Danio rerio: one gene and its partners. The protein of the gene in region 4 purifies or fractionates together with the protein of the main gene of each other region. This does not show direct contact. Links are inferred from orthologs where the notes say so. Each region holds a gene or a part of one and is shown on either strand. Other genes may lie near its edges. The genes, in order: dtnbb, sntb2, dmd, tns2a and csk.

The links.
Region 1: the proteins of tns2a (region 4) and dtnbb purify together in Homo sapiens (affinity purification with mass spectrometry; 3 studies listed by BioGRID and IntAct, with this or other methods). This does not show direct contact. The link is inferred for Danio rerio from reciprocal best matches to the Homo sapiens genes TNS2 and DTNB.
Region 2: the proteins of tns2a (region 4) and sntb2 purify together in Homo sapiens (affinity purification with mass spectrometry; 4 studies listed by BioGRID and IntAct, with this or other methods). This does not show direct contact. The link is inferred for Danio rerio from reciprocal best matches to the Homo sapiens genes TNS2 and SNTB2.
Region 3: the proteins of tns2a (region 4) and dmd purify together in Homo sapiens (affinity purification with mass spectrometry; 3 studies listed by BioGRID and IntAct, with this or other methods). This does not show direct contact. The link is inferred for Danio rerio from reciprocal best matches to the Homo sapiens genes TNS2 and DMD.
Region 5: the proteins of tns2a (region 4) and csk purify together in Homo sapiens (affinity purification with mass spectrometry; 6 studies listed by BioGRID and IntAct, with this or other methods). This does not show direct contact. The link is inferred for Danio rerio from reciprocal best matches to the Homo sapiens genes TNS2 and CSK.

The regions. Positions count from the first base shown.
Region 1 is NC_133192.1:39,012,177-39,016,206, reverse strand, and holds part of dtnbb (dystrobrevin, beta b), read left to right. Parts: intron 1-166; coding exon 167-247; intron 248-583; coding exon 584-797; intron 798-4,030.
Region 2 is NC_133200.1:37,489,180-37,493,663, reverse strand, and holds the start of sntb2 (beta-2-syntrophin), read right to left. Parts: upstream 3,199-4,484; 5' UTR 2,944-3,198; coding exon 2,400-2,943; intron 1-2,399. UniProt on the Homo sapiens protein: Adapter protein that binds to and probably organizes the subcellular localization of a variety of membrane proteins. May link various receptors to the actin cytoskeleton and the dystrophin glycoprotein complex.
Region 3 is NC_133176.1:12,469,593-12,474,122, reverse strand, and holds the start of dmd (dystrophin), read left to right. Parts: upstream 1-1,372; 5' UTR 1,373-1,502; coding exon 1,503-1,584; intron 1,585-4,530. UniProt on the Homo sapiens protein: Anchors the extracellular matrix to the cytoskeleton via F-actin. Ligand for dystroglycan.
Region 4 is NC_133198.1:10,584,426-10,589,103, forward strand, and holds the start of tns2a (tensin-2), read left to right. Parts: upstream 1-1,779; 5' UTR 1,780-1,841; coding exon 1,842-1,955; intron 1,956-4,678. UniProt on the Homo sapiens protein: Tyrosine-protein phosphatase which regulates cell motility, proliferation and muscle-response to insulin. Phosphatase activity is mediated by binding to phosphatidylinositol-3,4,5-triphosphate (PtdIns(3,4,5)P3) via the SH2 domain.
Region 5 is NC_133200.1:21,921,866-21,926,535, reverse strand, and holds the start of csk (tyrosine-protein kinase CSK), read left to right. Parts: upstream 1-1,714; 5' UTR 1,715-2,063; intron 2,064-4,670. UniProt on the Homo sapiens protein: Non-receptor tyrosine-protein kinase that plays an important role in the regulation of cell growth, differentiation, migration and immune response.

The DNA of each region.
Region 1 (4,030 bases), on a different chromosome or scaffold from region 4:
TGGTGCAAAAAGAGCAGCCATGACATTCTTCAAATTGTCTCTTTTTCTATATTATGGAAGAAGAAAGTCTTATATAAAGGAAACAACATAAGAGTGAATAAAATAATGTCAACATTTTAATTTTGTGTGTGAAAGTGACAAATCTGATGCATGTAATTTTACCCAGGGGCTCAAAACTTTGATGTCATTCGCCTTTCAACGTACAGGACAGCATGTAAGCTACGATTTGTCCAGAAACGCTGCAACCGTAAGTTGTCATGTCTTTCATTTGAATGTATCATTGAATCCCCTTGTTTAGCAAGTACATTTGTTCTCGTGTGCTGGGAAAATCAACAAAATACATCCATTGTTTATTCTGGATCAGTGTTTCCCAACCGTGTTCCTGAAGGCACACCAACAGTACACATGTAACATCAAACACACCTGAATCAACTCACCAGAGCTTAAGAAGAAACTCTAAAACCTGAAGTGAATGGGTCAGATAAGGGAGACATCCAAAATCTGTACTGTTGGTGTGTCTTCAGGAACAGAGTTGGGAAACACTGTTTTGGATCATCTCACCTGTTTACTTCTCCTGTCGCAGTTCACCTAGTGGATGTGTGGAACATGATCGAAGCTTTTCGCGACAACGGGTTGAGCACGCTAGACCACAACGCCGAGATTAACGTGTCCCGCCTGGAGACCATTTTGTCCTCAATCTTCTACCAGCTCAACAAGCGGCTGCCCACCACGCACCAGATAAACGTGGAGCAGTCCATCGGCCTGCTGCTAAACTTCATCGTGGCCACTTATGACAGGTGTGTTGTTAGTAAGGGAGATTTGATTTTCTCTCAGGGGGTCCCTTGTGGCAGAATGTCCCTGCAAACCTGATGGACCGTGAGTCATGCAGTGTGCATCGTGACAAGAGTGAGTGTTTGGATGGCATATGCCTCGCTCCAAAGCATAGTGAGCTGCCTATGGAGACTGCATTTTAAGGGATTGTGAGCACACTTTAGCTGTGGTGGGTGTTTCAAAAACTATGCAGTTTAATCATTCTTGTCCACTAAGAAGCTGTACGTTGTTTTGGCTAAATTTTAAAGGCCCATTTATGTCAAGCATGATAATTATATTGATTAAGAAGCTGCTGTAAATATAAAGAATAGTCCACACCACAGATACCATTATAAAGGCACTGAGGAATCATATCACTGGACTCATTTTTTCAGAGTGTTTTTCCTGCCAGCTACCGAATGATAATAAAACTGAGTAAATCAATATGCATCCTACTTTGAAGAGCTCTCACACTTAAAGTGGCAATAATAAACAGAACGATGTTGTGCTTTGGTTTAGCGGTAATATAATTATCATTATAGTTGTAGTTCTTGGTGTGAATGAGCCCTAAAGGAGCAGTCACTATTGTTCAGTGGTTTTGCAGACAAAATCCAGTTATTTCAACAGGAATCCACTAAATCTAAGAGGCCGTTCCCTTGATGCAGACCTAAATTATGAAGTATAAGCATTAGAAGTTAGTTCATATGACTTAATTTGTGGCATAATAAATTCACGATGTGCTTTGGTTTGGCAGTAATGTTATTATCATTATAGTTATCATTATAGTGATCATTTTAAGATCAGTCTTTTACCATTGTTCAGAGATTTGTTTTTGCAGACAAAATCCCATCATTTTGACAAGAATCCAAGAAAAATCTCAATTAAAAAGTATATGCATTTAATGTGGAAAAATAGGGTGTACATTTAGTTACTATGACTTCATTTGTGGCTTAATTAATTCCCAGCTAAAAATTTTAGGTTCTAAAAAGGATCCCATTCATTCATTCATTCAATCATTTTTCTTTGGCTTAGTCCTTTATTTATCAGGGTTCACCAAAGTGGAATGAACCACCAACTATTCCAGCATATGTTTTGCATAGCAAATGCCCTTCCAGCCGCAACCCAGTACTGGGAAACACCCATACACTTTCACACTCATACACTATGGCCAATTGTCATTCATTAATTTTCCTTTGGCTTAGTCTCTTGTTTATCAGCGGTCACCACAGCGGAATGAACCACCAACTACTGGGAAACACCCATACACTCTCATTCACACAAGCACTCATGCACTACGGCCAATTTAGTTTACCCAATTCAATTATACCGACAGGCGACAGTGCTAACAACTGAGCCACCATGCCGCCCCTCCCATTAAGTTCATCCATTCTTTCATTTTCTTTTCGGCTTAGTCCCTTTATTAATCCGGAGTCGCCACAGCAGAATGAAGGAAACCCACACCAACCCTGGGAAGAACATGCAAACTCCACATAGAAATGAAACTGACCCCCAATTAAGTTATATAGTATTATTTTAACATTTAAAATGTTTTTTTGACAATGAATTTAAGTTATTTTTTGGCTTTAAGAATGTTATTAAACATCTTCTGAGTCTCATGTTATATTCGTGTTCTCACATCGTTATTTAAAACGTTATTAGAACATTTCATCCATATTATGTTAATGTTCTTAAGAACTTTTCTCTACCTTCACTCTAAAAGAATAGAGGGTTCCACACAATTCCTTCATATTAACTTAATAGTTTTTTACCAATTTAAGTGGATTGAGCGTAAATCAGTTGCCCCATAAAAACGTAAGAATTGTGTTGATTCAACTCATTTTAAGTACTTTAAGTAGTTTGAACAAGGAACAAAAGCTACGTTTTTGAGTGTTTCTCTGTAAGTTATGAAAATGTTATTGTTGAAGGTTCGTAAAATGTTCAAAATTACCAGTTTTTAGATGATGTATTAACATTTTTTTTTTTGGTTATAATAACATTACTAAAAAATTAATTTTTATTTTTATATCTCATAACAATTCAGTCTCAAGATATATTGAAGTTCTCCAAATGTTGTTTAAAATGCCATTAGAACATTCCATCTACATTATATTAATGTTCTTAGAATGTTTTTCTATCCGCATTACAAGAGTCTTCCGGAAACATTATTATAATAATGTTGCATGCTAGCATTTAGACAACTTTTAAGAAATGCTACTGGATGTTCTCAGAATACTCCATGTTAACATGTATAAAACCTATTTGTTCCTAAATCGTAGCATGTTGTTTTAATTTGTACCTTTGTTAACTTTTAAGTTCATTTAGTTATCTCAAAGAAAAAATTCAATGCTCTAATTCAGATTTGCATCGTTTTGTTGTTTTTAGAGATTCATTTAAAGCATTTGATGATGGCAAAGCTTCTCTAAATATTCAATTAATTCATTTTATGAGGTGCTTTTATTGTGTAATACTGTACACTCAAAGCTTTTTACAATCATATGAGTTTCCACCAGTGTGCAGCTAGCTTTATCTAGCAAGATAAAAGTCTCTTAATAATCTTTATTAGGGTTGACAGCGTTTCATTTTTAAATAAAGATTTTAAATACAAACTTAACTAAACTAACACATAATAAAAGTAAAAGAGAAAGCATAAATAGTAATATTTGTCAATAAATAAATATTATACACATGGACTTAAACTAAATTTTACATGAATTGTTAACTAAATCGTTTGCTAATTTAAATCCACAGAAAAAAGTTAATAAGTTACTTTAATTTTATTTATGTGTTTATTGCACATTTCCCCCCCTAATCTTTTCTTTTCCTGTACTTACTTTAAAAACCCCTGAGCTGTAGGACATTTTACATTGCCTGTTTGTGAAGCTTTGGAATAAAAAAGGCAATGGGGCTTTTAGTCATGTTACACTTCTATAGAAATCAAAAAACAAAAACAGAACGCACTATACCAAAAACCACTAGCTTAATGGAAACCTACCTATACATGTAGTTACAATACTTTCATTTAGTCTACTTACTTCTTAGCACAGGATTTAGGAAATTTACCAGGATTCTTCAAAGCCAGCTTGTAAGTAGGTGTTTGGCTGTGCTGGTGGGATTGTGGCCCTTTTAGCGCTGTCAACAATTTGTAGTCAAACATGTTCTGTTTGCAATCATAATCCAAATAATTGTATGTAAAAGTACAAAGACTTGTATAATCCAGACA
Region 2 (4,484 bases), on a different chromosome or scaffold from region 4:
TTATTGTTGAGCCCTGATTGGCATCATTTATTTCGGTGTTTCGGTATCTGCTAAGAATTTTCATTTCGGTGCATCCTTATTTTGCATTTCTAATGGAATATTCCAGCATTGGTGCAGTATCATGGGATCATTTCTGAGCCATTTAAAGATTCAGCTCTCGGTTTAATTAGGCCAGTGCTGATGAGGATAATGAGTGTGTGAACAGAGCTCATCTCACGAGACCCCGCTCCACAGTTCTCATCAGTCTCGGTGTCTCTCAGGCAGGAGATTGAGCAGATCAACATGTGTTTCACTGAGCTGATGGACAGGGCGTATAATGGAAGTCAACGGGGCTCTTAAATGTGTTATCCTGGAGGCTCAGTGCCAGTGCTGGGGAGACATTTAAATACCACAACACTCACTGGACTCCACCAATGTAAACTCTGCCTGTGCCAATATTGCGTTTAAGTCAGTTTTGTTTAACTATTTGTAAATATGAAAATTAAGCACCAAGTAAAAAAACTGATATTTGTAGAAATATTTGTAAGCTGACCAAATTTACACTAAAATAGGAATCAGATATTAGGTTTCGATCCAGAAAAAATAAATCATTTGCATAAATAAATTTGACTAAACTATAATATTTTGTAGGAAGAATTAATTAAATTAAATGGTCATTAATTAAAATTTTTATTTATTGTCACTGTACAAAAATGTGTCATGATTCCACTTATTATATTTATCTTTTATTAATCACAGCTTTTCGCGTGTTTTTGCAATACAAATAATTTTTATTACCATGATTTTTGTTGTTTTTTAAATAATAAGATGATATATCCCCTTAAAATTTTAGACCATATCAACAAAAGTAACAAATCCAATATTTTGTAATATAATAATAATAATAATATTGCTGACAAATAAAATTTCTAATTAAGTGAATTACATTATTTAAAGATATTAAAGACTTTTATCTGCATTTTTTTCATGCTACCTACAATTTTTGCTTTTATTTTATAGTTTTTTTGTTTTATAGTCTACAAACTTCGACACAAAATTTGTGGGACTATTTATTAGACAATGTTTACATGTCAAAACGATTCTTTCAGGCCCACAAAATGCATACAATTTATATAATTTAGTTTGAAAAACGTGTTACATAGATTTACTCTTAGGTACGAGACTAATGAAAATAAAGTCGCAAAACAGATTCTTTCATTCATTCATTTTCTTTTCAGCTTAGTCGTTTTATTAATCTGGGTTCGCCGCAGCGGAATGAACCATCAACTTATCAAGCATATGTTTTATGCAGCGGATGACCTTCCAACCGCAACCCAGCGCTGGGAAACACCCATACACTCTTGCATTTACACCCACACGTACACTACGGCCAATTTATTCAAATCCCCTATAGCGCATGTGTTTGGACTGCGGGGAAACCAGAGCACCTGGAGGAAACCCACACCAACATGGGGAGAACATGCAAACTCTACACAGAAATGCCAACTGGCACAGCCGGGGCTCGAACCAGCAACAATCTTGCTGTGAGGCGACAGTGCTAACCACTGAGCCACCGTGCCGCCCAAAACAGAATCTTTACTAGGAAAAAAATAGTGGGGCTGGATTTTTACACTGACTGTGGTTTGCTATTGGTCAGTCACACTGAATGACACCTTGACTCCGCCTTCATGCCAGTGAACACCAATCAAAGAAGAAGAGCCACTGAAGTGGGCGTTATTTTGAAGAAAACTTGTATGAAATGTTATTTATTTAAAATTAAAAAAAATGTGCAAAGACAATAATTAATAATAAATATCGTACTAAAGTGTTTCAACACCGAACTAAAATATCATTCAAAATTAGAATTTTTGTATTGCAGAATATGGGTATTGCAAATCAGAGTTATTGATAGATGTTTAGGGGATAAATCAATCATTAGATAGATAAAAAATATATAAATAAAAAATAATACTGTGATTTCACCAAAAAAAAATGAAGTTAAAAAAGTACAGTAATACAGTACATCTGTTTATCTATTCCTCTTTTACTGTATTACTCCCATTCCTATTCAAATCATACCTGGTGTTTGGAGAAAATTGCTATTAGAGAAAAAAAAGTTATCTGCTTATTACCACAAAAAACCTTCAGTCATGCACATCACACATCTGTAAGTTTCATAACTTCAGTAAGGGGTTTCCAAACCTCTTATAAACCTGAATTATCTAATATGTCAAATGAGCCAATGTTTACAACATGAACAGTTAAAACTCAACACAATAAAACCTGAAACACCTCAAAGTTTCTATTTAGGCGTGTAAATTATGAACACATAAATAATTAATTATTCAAAAAACTTTGTTTTGATTAACGGTAAACTACAAAGGCCTACTGAATCCCCGCGGCTCGAGTGATTGACTTACCCTCCAGCGTGACCTCCTTCCCAGCCTTCTTCAGCGCCTGCACCGCCGCGTCGTGCGTAGCGTCGCGGAGGTCGCTGCCGTTGACGGACAGTATCGCGTCGCCCACACGCAGAGCTCGACTCTGATCCGCAGCTAAACCGGGGAAGATCTTTGATATTAGGATAGGCATACGGTTCTCCCGTCCCCCTTTAATGCTAATCCCCAGTCCGCCGGACTCCTGCTTGACTATCCGAACTCTGCGTACCCCCTCCGAGTCACAGTAACCGCTGGACTCCGAGTCCGACCCGGTCCCGTTAACGCGACCCGGGCTGTTGTCGTATTGCACGCGATTCGTAAACACATCCCGGTTCTGTTCGTTGCCATTGGAAACGCCGTTTTTCAGATGCGAATTGTGCTCCGGGTAACCCGCGGGCCCGCCCGGTTCTCCCTCCGCCGTGAGAGTGAGGTTGTCCCGCGTGAGCTCCGCTGACACCCGGACCCAGCGGTCGCTCAGCAGAAGGTCCAGATGACCCTGTTTCTCCGCGCGGGTCCACACGGCCATCATCAAACTTTAACTCATCCTAAAGTTTAAACTCGCTCGACACACCCACTCGCACGCACATTTCCCCTGAGGAAGGAAGAGGAGCGAAATTTTAATAATAAATCTGTTTAATAAGTTTAAACATTGGTATTTATTGCTGCAGCTCTCCGAGTTCGGGTTCTCACGGCACGGAGAAACTATTTAATTAAAAACACGCGCTGCTGCTTAGACCGGACGGCCGGAGAAAAGCGTTAGATTTGTATCTCATTGATTATTCATGAGAGGGGCGGGGATTGTCAACTTATTTATCTTTCCTCGCCGCACTAAAGCCACTAAAGCTGTACAGTGATTTAGAAACAAAGCGAAAATAATGGCGTAAAATTACTTCAGTGTCATCATTACTGTATGACTTTTGTTCTTATTATAATGCAGCTTTTAGTTGTAATAAGATAGATAGTAGGAAAACAAAGATAACTCTCTCATTAATAATTAATCAGATTCAAATCTTTATACGTTGAATAAGTTAATATCCAACAACAAATAATAATAATAGTTATTGTTAGTATTATAATTAATATAAAACAAAATAAATACGTTTTTAATATAAAATTTTAACTTGTCACTATTTCACAGACAGTTAAAAGACTATTGGTGAGCTAATTTAAGTTTTTATAAATAGATGGGATTATTAGTTAATTTTCATATTTACTGTTTTCATTTTAATAGAGAATTAAATTAAGCTTTAATAATCCTTCCATCCCGATACCATAAAGCAAAGTCCATTTTCATCTGTAGCTGAAGGGATTGAAGCTCTATTGTATTGAAGTCATGTGTTTGGTAAATCTGCTGGTCAATATAACACATAAGTGTTTTTGCCCAAAATAATATTGACTCGCAGTAAAAGATGTTGACTGTTCTCATTAGCTTCAAAGTGTTACTCATACTCTAAATGACTCACCTCAGCTTTAAAAAAAAACTCTAATACACAGCTTTATTTTATTTATCACAGTTGACAGAAAATTTATGTATGATAATTGTTTTTCCTTACACTAATTAATGTAGTCGTGTTGTTTTGAATTTGAGGGGGGAGGGGGGGGAGTATTCAAAATACAGTTTTGTGTAAGCGTTTGTGAATATGTTTATAGCACGAATATGGAAAAGAGGGAAAACTGATGAATCAACTGAGGATCATCAGGAACAACCATCACAAAGTAAAATAAATAAATAAGAACATAATTTCAGCTATTTTTCTGTCATGTAAACATCTTTGTTGTAAAATTTAGAATTGAAAAAAACAGCCTATGAACTCCTCAAAATGATTAATAAATTCAGAATTGCAGGAAGAAGAAAAAAACTAATTCAGAATTGTAATATAAACAAAGAAACATGAGATAGAAAAGTATCTCTGAACACACAACATGTCCAACCTTGAGGCGGATGGGCTACAGCAGCAGACAAACACACCGGGTGCCGCTCCTGTCAGCTACGAACAGGAAACTGAGGCTACAATTCACACAGGGTCACCAAAATTAAACAATAGAAGATTGGAGAAACGTTGCCTGCTC
Region 3 (4,530 bases), on a different chromosome or scaffold from region 4:
TAGGGTCAGAATTTGGCGTCAACAAAATGAAAGCAAGGATCCATCCTGCCTTGTATAAACAGTTCAGGCTGGTGGTGGTGGTGGTGTAAAGGTGTGGGGGATATTTTCTTTGCACACTTTGGGCCCATTGATACCAATTGAGCATCGTGTCAACAACAAATATATGCCTAATAACATGGGTATTACAATGTTAAAGCGGTTTATAAGACATGCAAACAATTCAAAACTGTTACATCATATCTAATGATGTCTTTTTGTATTCAGAATTTGCTCCAGGTTTTCTGTGAAGTTTCGTTTGAGGGATAGGGTTAGGGTAAGGCAGTGATCCTTGTGTGTCAAATAAGAGAGATATACAAAATGTGTTGGCTGGGGGGTCCCGAGGACTGTAATTGAGAACCACTGGTGCAAGCCGATATAATCACCAAGTTGTTTTTAAAGAATAAAAAAAGTTACAAAAATGTTTATTCTTATAAAACACCAAAATGTGTGTACCTTGTATTCCTTTACATTATGGGGACCAAATTTCCTCACATGTGTAGCAATTGAATTTTGACCTCATGGGGACAAAATATATGACTATATGACAAAACTACATTTTCAAATGTATTTTTCCAGATATTTGTAAATAGTCAACAGTCACAAAAATATTGCTTAAGAGGGGTAATAATTTTGACCTTAAAATGGTTTTAAAGAAATTAAAAGCTGCTTTTACTCTAGCCGAAATAAAGCAAATAAGATTTTCTCCAGCAGAAAAAATATTATAGAAATGACTGTGAAAATTTCCTTGCTCTGTTGAAAACAGAACTCGCAGGAGGGCTAATAATTTTTACTTCAAATGTATCTAAACATACGTACACATATACTGTATATCTATATCTATCTCATTATTGTTTTGTTTTATTTTTCACTATACACCAACTATCTTCATTTTAAAATGAAGGTCGTGGGTGGTGGAGAGGCCTTAGGGTTAAAAGTCTGAACTGGTAACTAAAGATTTGGAGATTTAAAGCCCACCGGGAGCAATTTATGAGCTATAACCATTGAGCCTTTGGGCAAGGCACTTAACCCTAGATTGCTCTTAAGGGACTGCTGCTATAATAAGCGAATACTGTAAGTCGCGCATGACAAAACTGTGAAGTGTATACTTTCCTCTAAGAGCATTCATTGGCCATTTGTCACCAGACTTCTTGGTGACCAGTCCCTTTCTCGCCAGAAAATAAGCATTTGTGTTTGGGAGTGAAATGAAGCAGGCCTTCATAGTGACTCTCTATTTTAAGGCGAGCAGAGTTTGCCACCTGTCTCTGCTTCTCCAGATTCCCTGACAGCTTGTTTCCCCCTATCACAACAGTCCTCAGACTGTCTCGTCCCGGTGTCATTCACAAAAAATTCACTGCTGGATCTGAGGTTCAGTTTGTTCACAGGGCGTTGGTGAGGGCTCCTTCCTTTTTCTGTTTATAAAATTGTAGGATTAAAGGACCCAACGTTGGCTTGGATCTTATGTCATGGCCGAAGCAGTGAACCCACAGGACCAATGGGAGGAAGGTTTTGAGGACGAATTCGGAGAAATCATCAAAACTCGATCAGGTTGGAGAAATTATCTTTAATTTATTTGCTCATTAAGAACACTTTAAAAATTTTGTTTGTTTAAATTGCAAAATTTAACTAAATAATTTGTGTTTTTTTGGGGGGACAACTTAATTGTTTTATGTTCAATCCACTTAAATGTGTAAAAGTGATTAAGTTAACTTAATTTGTGTTGGGACAACATGATGTTTACAGCGAATTTTCAAACCGACTTTAGGTCAAATATGAACAATTGCAACTGTTGGGTTAAAAAACTGAGATAAAAATCAAACCCAAACAATGGGATTTTCCATAATTGGCCCAAAGTTGGGGTAAACATGATTGAGTTTACTTAATTTGTGTTGGGACAACATAATGTTTACAGTGAATTTCCAACCTAACTTTAGGTCAAATATGGACAATTGCAACTGTTGGGTTAAAATATTCAGATAAAAATCAAACCCAAATGATGGGATTTTCCATAATTGGCCCAAAGTTGTGTTTAAACAACCCAACTTATTTAGATATGGTCTCATGCAAGTGGTAGGTGTAAAATAGTATGTCTTAAAGGGACAGCTCACCCAAAACCTGTAGCCATTGACTTCCAAATTATTTGATTTTGTACTTTGGAGGTCAACAGTTACAGCCTGAAATTTCTTTGATTTGAAACCACTTGAGGGTGAGGAAATAGTGAGTACATATTAATTTTTGGGTGAACTATCTCTTTAATTCTGATTCAAAGTCAATTGTTTTACACTATCAAATTTCTCAATCATAATTTTACAGTTCGCTACAGTTTCAGTGCATTCCTTTCTACGGTCAAATTTAAAAATGAAAACACATGATTAACCAAACTTACACCAGATGAATATTTCCGCCATTTAAGAACACTCTAAAAATTGCTGCTTGTTCAAATTACTTAATTTAACTTATTTTGTGTTTTTTGGAACAACTTTTTTTAATTTGTGTTGGGACGACATGTTGTTTACAGTGAACCTAACATTAGGTCAAATATGGACAATTGCAACTGTTGGGTTAAAAATTTATATAAAAATCAAACCCAAATGATGGGATTTTCCATAATTTAACCCAAAACAACCCAGCTTTTTTTTTTAGAGAATGCTATTATCCAAGTGGTAGGTGTGAAATGACTTAAAGGGACAGTTCACCCAAAACCTGTATCCATTGACTTCCATAGTATTTTATTTACTACTATGGAAGTCAATAGTTACTGCATTCTTCAAAATATCTTCTTTTGTGTTTAGCAGAATTCATAAAGATTTGAAATCACTTGAGGGTGATGAAATAGTAAATATATATTAATTTTTGGGTGAACTATCTCTTTAATTCTGATTGAAAGTCAACTGTTTTACACAATCAAATTTCTCAATCATAGTTGTAATCGCTACAGTTTTAGTGAATTCCTTTCTACAGTCAAATTAAAAGATAAAAACATATGATTAACCAAACTTACACTACCAGATCATTATTTACGCCATTTAAGAACACCTGAAAAATTGCTGCTTATAAATTAAAATACTTAATTTAACTTAATATTTTGTGTTTTTGGGACAACTTCATTGTTTTATGTTAAATCCACTTAAATTTAATTTGCCTTGGGACACCATTAAAACAACCCAGCTTTTTTAGAGTATGGTCTCATGCAAGTGGTAGGTGTAAAATACTATGTCTTAAAGCGACACACCCAAAATCAGTATCCATTGACTTACATAGTGTTTGATTTCCTACTGTGGAAGTCAATAGTTACAGCATTTTTCCAAATGTCTTCTTTTGTGTTCAGCAAATCTCATAAAGGTTTGAAACCACTTGAGGGTGAGTAAATAGTGAGTACATTTTCATTTTGGGGCAACTATCTTTATTCTGTTTCAATGTCAACAGAGCTGTTTCAATGTCAACAGAGCTATACACAGAGCAGCAGCACGAGTGGTCTTCAATGAACCTAAACGAGCACATGTCACTCCGCTGCTAGTCCGTTTGCACTGGCTGCCAGTTGCTGCTCGCATCAAATTCAAAGCTCTGATGTTTGCCTACAAAGTTACTTCTGGCCTTGCTCCTTCTTATCTGCTCTCGCTTCTGCAGATCTATGTGCCCTCCAGAAACTTGCGTTCTGTGAATGAACGTCGCCTCGTGGTTCCATCCCAAAGGGGGAAGAAATCACTTTCGCTCACGCTCACGCTCAATCTGCCCAGTTGGTGGAATGAACTCCCTAACTGCATCAGAACAGCAGAGTCACTCGCTATTTTCAAGAAACGTCTAAAAACTCAACTATGTAGTCTCCACTACACTTCCTAATCTGTAATTGCCTCTCTGAATATCAAAAGAAATAAATAAGAAATAAATAAAATAAAATAAATACTAATACTTCCCTTCTTAGACTATACAGACCTGAAACTTGCCTATAGCACTTATTCATTGTTGCTCTTGGTTGTGTAAATTGCTTCCTTGTCCTCATTTGTAAGTCGCTTTGGATAAAAGCGTCTGCTAAATGACTAAATGTAAATGTAAAATGTACTTCAGTTTTTACAAATTTCTCAAACATTATATTAATGCCAACAATTGTATTGCATTCCTAGCCTACTCAAATAAATACTGGTTGCCTTTTATATTTAAGCCTTATGAGTCATTTGAATTCATATTATATTAAACCAGCTTAAAAAAAACTTGTGTAACTTATAAAATTAAGTTAGAACATGATTTACTTTGTTTAATAAGTTACAATTAACTAAAAAACATAGATTGTCATGACTAATTAATCATATAATTTTTCACAGTATATTTACCGTCAAATTAAAACACATATACTTAACCAAATCAATATTTACTTCATTTTCTTATCTGTACTTGTCTGTTCAACTATTTGCTGCCCAGATCAAACATTTATTATGAAACATTTTGAATGAGTATCTTTAAAATCGATTTTCTTTTGCCCCTGTGCTCCACCCTGAG
Region 4 (4,678 bases):
ATGATTGTTTCACTCTTCTTTGTGGTTGCTAGCGCATTATTTGCTGATTACTTGTGCTGTCTGGGTAGTTGGTAGAACTTTGTGAAGTGATTACCTTGCTGTTCTAAATGTGAACTCACACCTCTGGTGGCTAAAGCGTCAATATAGTGGGAAGTCATTAATTTTCAATGGAAGCCAGCGGCAACAAGCAGCGAGAAGTGAGGCGCCACATTTTCGCTGGTGTGAGCAGAGGAGAGTTGAAATCAAGTCAACTCTATGGTAATGAGCTATGATGCGGTTCAGCGGCAACCAATCGGAATGTAGAAGTCCATTAGATCGCAGACAACACAGTCCTGTGAACTTTGGTACCAACCACAGTTGTTCCTATCTATACGACAGTACGAAACAGTATTGCTGCTTCAGAATATTTCACACATATGGACGTATTGGATAGGTGGAACAAAGCCACAACACATGCAACAACTAGATCTTCCACAGTCAAATGAATTTGATAAAAGGTGTGCAACATTTTCAAACTAGAAAGCATGTTTTTATGCAGGAATGTAAGTGATTTGCTGATATGCAACAGCCCCTTTAAAAACAAGATAGCGAATTTTGACGATCTCGTCGGCAGTGCTGTAAAAGCAGACATCATCGTCGACCGGGCGGCCAGAGCAAACTTTGATACTCTCGTTGCCTGTGGTGTGAACGCATAGTAAGTGGCCCACAGTGGACGCACAATCTATAAGCAAATATAAGGTTATTTAATATAATACTATGTAGATAGCGCTTTATGGTGTTGGTCCCATCCATTTCATCACCGCGGACCGCTCAATGTTTCAACAATTACACAGCAGACCAGGGTTGGAGCAGGGTTTCGTAGGTTGCTTTCTGTTTCTTACTCATTTTGCTGCTTGTAGGTTCATTTTGACGCTTAAGTGACCGAGATAAAAGTGAGAAAATATGGTCACTTTTCAAAATTAAAGATCGTTCAGACTCGAATAATAAATAAAATTGAAATAATTAATGATTTCTTGTGTGACCCCATACCAATTGGCATCCTAGGTTACTTAATGGGATAGTTACTTAAGCGTTAAAAGAACATTCCTTGGGCATTCTGGATTACAAGGGTTTCCTACAGATTGAAAGTGTGTGATTACTACAATTGCATTGCTAGGTAATTTACTATTGCGTTTTGGCTAGTTTCTAAAAAGTTGCTATGTGGTTGCTAGGGTATTCTGGGTTGTAACTAGATTGTACATTTTGATCACTAACATGTTCAAAGTCACTGTAATATCCAAGTCACTAGAAATAGTTAAGGTCCTTTCTTAAATATACGTCTTGATTTTTTCCTACAAGATAAACATTAATCTTTTATATGGGAAAGATCAAACACACCACTCCCCAATAAATTGCATGATTTGAGGTATCGTTGGATGTGCCTCTAACACTAAAAATGAGCAATTAAGGAAGAAAAGTCAACAGTCGTTTGTTTACGTTCTGAAAGACAGATCACTTGAGCACAATGGTGTGTGTGTTTCTGGGAAAAGTAGGGGGTGGGGGCTGATATCCTCTTGATGTTGGCTTGTGAGTTGTGTACGTTTGGCTGACCGTACGCAGGCTAAGAGTGCTAATAGACTTTTGATTTAATAGGCATATTCTCACCTTTGTTTACATACGTGTGCTCACGAGAGACAGATGAGTGTGAACTGGCGAACATGTGTGTGTGTTTGAATTAAAGCCAGGAAAAGGGGAAGGGCTTCGAGTGAGCGAACAAAAACAGCTGCCTCTTGTGTGCTCGGGAAACCTCATCCAGAGAGAGGGAGAGAGAAGAGACGGACCAGCAGGGTCCAGGCCTCTATATGGGTTGCGCCTTAAGTGGGGATAGCTGTGGGGACGAGCCAGATCCAGTACCCGTGAGAGGGTCTTTAAGGAGGGAGAGAGCAAAATCCAGGGGAAACATGAGGCTGACCAAGGTGGGTGCTTCCCGTATTTGTTTACAGGTGATGAGTTCATGTTTATTTGTATGCTGCAGTGTCGGATGATCAAGTGTCTGCTTGTGGTAAAGGAACTGTGTTTGTCTGAATGTCAGTCAAAAGTTTTGCAACTTCTTGTAGCAAGAGATGTTACTCCCTTCCAGCGAAGACAGCATCAGATAAGGATGAATTTGCAACTTGTCAAAGTATATTATGCAGTACTACACCTTTGTTTTGCTTTCCTTGATTTTCATATGTTCACTAAAATAGGATAAACATTTTGAAGAAAATATGAGGTATGCTTACTTATGCAGAACTTGTGTATTTGCCAGAGTGTTGCTTGATAAGCTGCTCTGGATAGATGTAAGGGGTACTATGGGGTGTTGCTCAGGTATTCTGCTGCTTTATAGAGTATTTTTAAGAAATGTTGTAGTGTTTTGTGTGGTTGATAATGTATTTTGAATGATGCCAATTCTCTGAAGACTGATTATGCGATTGTTGAGCAAACAATTTTTTTTGTTTGTTGTTGTGGCTGTTGTTTTTGGTGCTGTATTTTGATGTTTAGTTTGGTACTCAGGTGATTGTTTTGGTTGGTTAGATTAGGTAAGTGTTAAGGGTTTGTTTCCCTTGTGTTCTGGGTAAAGGTTGGGGCTTCTAGTGGTTGCTGCTAAGATATTTTATTTGGGTGGTTAAGGTTCTTGGTTGTGTGTTCTAGGTAAAGGTTGGGGTTTCTAGTGGTTGCTGCTAAGATATTTTGATGGTTACTTTGGTACACCAGTGATAATTAGGTTAAGGTTCTTTGGTTGTGTGTTCTACATAAAAGTTTGGGTTTTCTAGTGGTTGCTGCTCAGATATTTTGATGGTTATTTTGGTACACTGGAGATGGTTTGGGTGGTTAGGTTAAGGTTCTTGGTTGTGTGTTCTGGGTAAAGTTTGGGCTTTCTAGTGGTTGCTGCTAAGATAATTTGATGGTTACTTTGGTACACTGGTGATGGTTTGGGTGGATAGGTTAAGGTTCTTGGTTGTGTGTTCTAGGTTAAGGTTGGGGTTTCCAGTGGTTGCTGCTCAGATATTTTATGGTTAATTTGGTACCCAAGTAATGGTTTGGGTGGTTAAGTTAAGGTTCTTGGTTGTGTGTTCTAGATAAAAGTTGGGGTTTCTAGTGGTTGCTGCTTAGATATTTTGATGGTTACTTTGGTACACCGGTGGTGATTAGGTTAAGGTTCTTGGTTGTGTGTTCTGGGTAAAGGTTGGGGTTTCTAGTGGTTGTTGCTAAGATATTTTGATGGTTATTTGGTACACTGGCGATGGTTTGGGTGGTTAGGTTAAGGTTCTTGGTTGTGTGTTCTGGGTAAAGGTTTGGGTTTCTAGTGGTTGCTGCTAAGATATATCGATGGTTACTTTGGTACACTGGTGGTGTTTTGGGTGGTTACGTTAAGGTTCATGGTTGTGTTCTGGGTAAAGGTTGGAGTTTCTAGTGGTTGCTGCTAGGATATTTTAATGGTTATTTTGGTACACCGATGTGGTTTGGGTGGTTAGGTTAAGGTTCTTGGTTGGATGTTCTGGGTAAAAGTTAGGGTTTCTAGTGGTTCCTGGGGTATTAAGATGGTTTCTTTGGTACTCTGGTGCTTGTAAAAGTTTTTGGTGGTTTCTTAAATATTAATACTCCAATATACAAACTGTAAGTCTCTGGAATCCCACCACTTCATGTTTTGTTTTTTTCCTGCACAATGTGAAAACTCTTAGATGATTTAGGTGACATTTAAGATACCAATGTTCTGTGTTTGTGAAAATGCTAGATTAACCATTCCAGGTCAGTCAAATTGTGTAAGGATGAGCATTTCGATTCTGAAATAACAATGTCTCTCTGATTGTTGACACTGACAAAGAAGGACTGGAAAACTTGAGGAGGGCTTGATTGTGTGTTTACATGCCTGAGAGTGAAAGTCTATAATGGTCTGGTCCCTGAGGCTGGTTCACGTGCAGTGCAGCGTGGGAACTTCAAGCCCTCTGCATGATGTCACAGAGTTGCAGCTGATCCTGTAAAGCAGGCCTGGGAATCATTATTTTTCTCTACACATTTATACAGCCATGCCACTTTCATATTTCACCGCAGATCCATAATCTGTGCCCAAACACATACAAATTTTAGTCTTGTCACTATGGGATTGCAAAAGAGTCCATCCACTGCCCTGTTGATGTTTTAATAGCAAACTTGCATAAGGTTGAGGTTTCTTTTGAATGCTTCCTCCTACAACTATAACCATAATATTTGTTTTTACAGACATTTTTGATTTTAATACAAGCCCAGTTTCTTTTCTTTTTCTGTGGCTGCAGAGTTTAATGGTAATACTCCTAAATCAGTATATGATCATGTCACGTAGAAACATTTTTGGTCTGCTGATGGGATTATAATGAAACACTGTCTCATGCAAGCATATAACCCATTTATGATGCTATAGTTACACAATCTGACATATAACTGTTGTTTTTTAGTTCCCAGTGGAACAAGATAATGCTTCCTAGATCAACTTTTGCAGGATCTGAACTTACGACCCCTCAGATCTTTAACTTCACTCTGCACCCATGCAATCATTGCAGATTGAATTATGAGTTGCCCTTGGCTATTTACTGTTTTTGTTTAACAAATAGAGGCTTTAGCTTGTCAGAATCTTACCCTCACTGAGCTGCTATTGTCTTAGCGTGACAAACAGCAAGTCTTC
Region 5 (4,670 bases), on a different chromosome or scaffold from region 4:
AATTGCGTTTGTTTATTTATAAATAGTGTTTTGAACTTTCGAATTGGATTTGTGTTTTTATGAATCGTGTTTTGAATTTACTAATTGGATTTATACATTTTTAAATCATGCTTAAAATTTATGAATTGGATTTGTGTATTTATAAATTGTGTTTTGAACTTTTGAATTGGATTTGTGTATTTACAAATCATGTTTTGAACTTTTAAAATGGATTTGTGTATTCAGGAATCATTTTTTAAATCTTTCTTATTGAATTTGTGCATTTACGAATCGTGTTTTGAATTTACGAATTGGATTTGTGCATTTACGATTTTTTTTGAGCTTTTAAATTGTATTTGTGCATTTTCAAATCCTGTTATGAATTCCAAACTGGAATTTTGTATTTATGAATCGTGTTTTGAATTTACTAATTGGATTTTTGCAGCTTTAAATCCTGTTTCAAATTTATGAATTAGATTTTTGTATTTATGAATCGTGTTTTGAAATTACGAACAGGATTTGTGTAATTACAAATTGTGTTTTGAACTTTCGAATTGTGTTTTTAAAGTTACCAATTGGATTTTGTAAATGTTTCTTGTGTTGTGGATGTATGAATAATATATTGCAAATTTACTATTTTTGAGACTCATCTGGCTCCATATCAAAATGTCAGAAGCTTGTGACTTGCATTCTCAGCTAAAAATGTTCCTAATTTTTCTACTGGATAGAAAAAGAGTCACCTACCTCTTGCATTTACAAATTCACATTAAAATTCTGGTCTAAGAGTTTCTTTAAATCAGAGATGCCCAAACTAGGGCCCGCGGGCCAAAATTGGCCCATGATAATCTTTGATTCATAGAAGACATGGACAAATGATGGGGAAGGTTGGGGCAAGAGGTCGTCAGTTCTAATTTTACATAATCTTTTGTTTGTTGGTTTAATTGCAGAGCTACAAAAAAACAAAACTTTGAATGTGAATGAATCAGATTTTACCAGGGCAATGAAATCCTTATACACATTTTTTTTTTTAAATGTTGAACGATTTTTATGTTATAAATAAAATTGTTTATGGTTTTATTGTAAGAAGTACCTTACAAAATTTAAAATACATATACAAGTATTCATACGATTATAGTTTTTTTATATTATTAAATTAGGGAGTTACCATGACAACTTTAATGTAAAGCAGTTTGATATGTTTGGCTTCAGTCCACCACCCTCAATCATGTTTAGATTTTGGCCTTTCGTAAGAAAAAGTTTGGGCACCCTTGCTTTATATATTACATTTGAATGGCTTTATTGTTGCAATTCTCTTTAAAAACGCTTGCTGTCGCTCCTGCTGCAAACTTATGAATCCTACCACGGTAAGGGACTATCTTATGAATGTTAAGCAGTCAATGCTAACATTGCTCAGTGTCTATTTTGTAAACCTCGTTAATATTGACATATTCACAGTAACATTTGTCATTAATCCTGCTTTACTCTTGTTTTCGGAAAATTTTCTTTAGCCTCACATATTTAATATTGAGAAGCCATATGCCCTCGCAGTAGTAGAATTCGTAGCATTACGACGCATGCGCACAACAAACGGGGCTGTCTGAAGAAGTGCGTTTCCTTTTCAAGGGCCTGTGAATGTGTGTGTGTAAAAGACAGCTGGAGCCCTAGGGTGTGCTGCGCTTCCGTAAAGCTTAAAAACTGCTCGCTTTAGGCGGCGTAGCATTTATCGACTTCCCTGGTCAGTAATAAGCTGCAACAGTTGCGTTTTTTTGGGGGGCTGAACCGTTTGTTTTCTTTCCCGCGCTGTGTGTTTTGTATGTGAGGCGTATATATAACCGCCGCTGTCTTTAACGGTTTTTTGCGGGTATATTTGTATGCACGGACGAACCGAACATCTTTTGTCTGGGTTGATGTTAAAGGAAAGCTCGTTGGAAGATCTATTTGACGCCGAATGTGTGAATGATCACGTCTGTATCTCGTGTTGATGCATTCTGGTGGGTTTGACCCACACATGGACTAAGTGGACGATCTTAAAACATCTACAACTTCAAGGCATTTGGACACCATCATCTGCAGAACACCTATAGGTAATGTGTTTTTGTTTTCGCTAATGTAACTGCGTGATATTAACCATATTTTTAGTATCTACTTGGACGTCTCATAATGGACGCATTGTGTTTGCGAATCTGAATGCGATGGGTCTGTTTTACAGCTGTCTAAATAAGAGCCACTTGAAGCTGCTGCATGAGACAAAAACGTGTCCTTCATGTTTTGTTAATCATCTTAAATAAAGCATATGCTCAAGATGCAAAGGGTTTGTTCCCAGAATGCACTGGGTGCGAGAAGGCGAAATGGACTAATGCCATTTTGAGATGCATTGTCTTTTTTTGGACCATCCGTTCTGTTCCCCATCAGCATCATTTTGGATTATGTTGTCATGGTTTCTTGAATGTTTAATAACAACATCTGAATGTAGGTCTGGCCTGTACATAGTTGACCCATAATAATACCCTTTTTAAAAGGAAATAGTAAACTTATTTACTAATAAACACCACCAGAGTCATTTGTGACCCAACCTGTCATGGTATTTAAAAAGAAAAAAAAATCCCATGTTAAAAAGACGGTTATTCAAATCATAGCAGAAAGGTCTCTCTGTGTTTTTGCCTTTATTAATATTAATGAGTTGCATTTATAAAGGTTGAAATCCAAAGGTCACTTCCTCCTGCTAAAGTGCAGACTTTAAAGACACGCTTCCCCAAATAAGGAGAATTGTAACTATCATGCTGTTTCAAACCAGATTTCTATTGGCTGTTCTTGCTTCTAACATTTTCATAGTGAATAGAGAATGGCTTTATGATGACAAAAAGTAAAAGTGTCATAATAATGGTTCACATTGTACGTAGTCCTGTACGCAGTCAAATCTTTGGAATGGGCTTGACTGGAGAAAATGCACAAATGTGACTCCACTTGTGTACATAAACAATATTAAATGAGCAATTCCATGCAAATGTCAACCTTGCCATGAAAAAATGAAGTTTTCACTAGAAAAGCGAGCAGTTTTTACATTTTTTTTGTGTAAGGAAGTATTTTACAGTACTGTAAACATACTCAATAATGAGTTTGTTAACATGGACACCAATAATCAGATTTTTATACGATTAAGACAATACTCTGGTTAGGAGTGATTTTTGATTAATTTAATCCGATTAAGATTATAATTGAACTAAAGAGAAATCGAATTAAGACATGTGGAGTATGTCGATACTTCATTATTGAAGTGCAGAACAGACATGTAAACAGCTTAATTAAACTATTACCATCATGTAGGACTTTTTGCTGCGTTTTGCGACTGGATAGTCCACACACACACACACACGGCTGTTTGACACTATTCTTTGCACCTAGAGTCAGTTAAGGACCACAGACACATGCACTGTGAAATGCAAAGTTTTTTTTTTCCATTCAGCGAGCGGTATGAAATTCCATTAAAACAACACACATCCAACAATTCATAGTTGCATCCAATATCTTGTTTGTCACGGGTGCATGCATGAAATGTTCCTGAATGAAAGTGAAAGAACCAAACTGCAGTTAAAGTGGAAAAATGAAAACTAAAAAAACTCAAAATGACATGAAACTCTGGAGAAAATGTGGATAGCATGGTGACGCAATGATGGTAATCGAATAATGTGCTATAACATGTAAAACTTGATCATGAAAGGAACATTCAAAAAGCAACTCGTGTACACCATAATAATATTATTGTCTTAATTAGATTAAGGCAAATAATTTGATTACTGATGTAAATGTAGTCAGTGTCTCTGTCAAATTCAATTGTCAAATTGGTACAGGTGAATTGGGTACACTAAATTGTCCGTAGTGTATGAGTGTGAATGATGATGTGTAGATGTTTCCCAGGGATGGGTTGCGGCTGGAAGGGCATCCGCTACGTAAAACGTGCTGGATAAGTTGGCGGTTAATTTCGCTGTGGTGACCCCGGATTAATAAAGGGACTGAACCAAAAATAAAATGAATGAATGAATATAATATGTTTTTCATGTACTATATAGTCTGGAAGTATGTGATTTCAGACACAGCCATCGTATTCAAAGCGGAAAAAGGTTGTTTTTAGTTTTTTTACCCAGACATTTAAGAAGAATATGATGACCCACATACGAAGTATACTTGTTAATTTAAAAAACAGTGCTACAGTTAATTATCCTTGATGAGTGTGGTGTTTAGTCTGTGTAACCCCTCCCACTGAAAATTTACCCAATTATATTCCAGCATCCTGGGTTGCCATAGTGTAAAGCACATAGTATTTCTTTTCAGGCTTGAAGACTGCCTCAGTATTTGCAGGTACGGCTTGAAAAAAGCAGCCTAGGAAAACGTAATGTGCCTTTAACATAACTACATGAATTGAAAAAAATATTATTAATATGGAAGAATAAACATTAAGTAGCTGTCTAAAACTACTTTGTTGATACAGTTAGATTAGTTACATGTTATGAGCCACCACATTTCTTCAAAAATTTTGCTCTTTATTCGTTTTTAAAGTGAAGTGATATACTATTTTTGCATTCAGTTGGACACTGAGCTGCATTACATACTAGCTGACAGGTAGGTATATCAGATGAAAGTGCCAAGATATTGGATGTCTCCAGTGAAACCACTCCTGTTTTTACCTTGCGAAT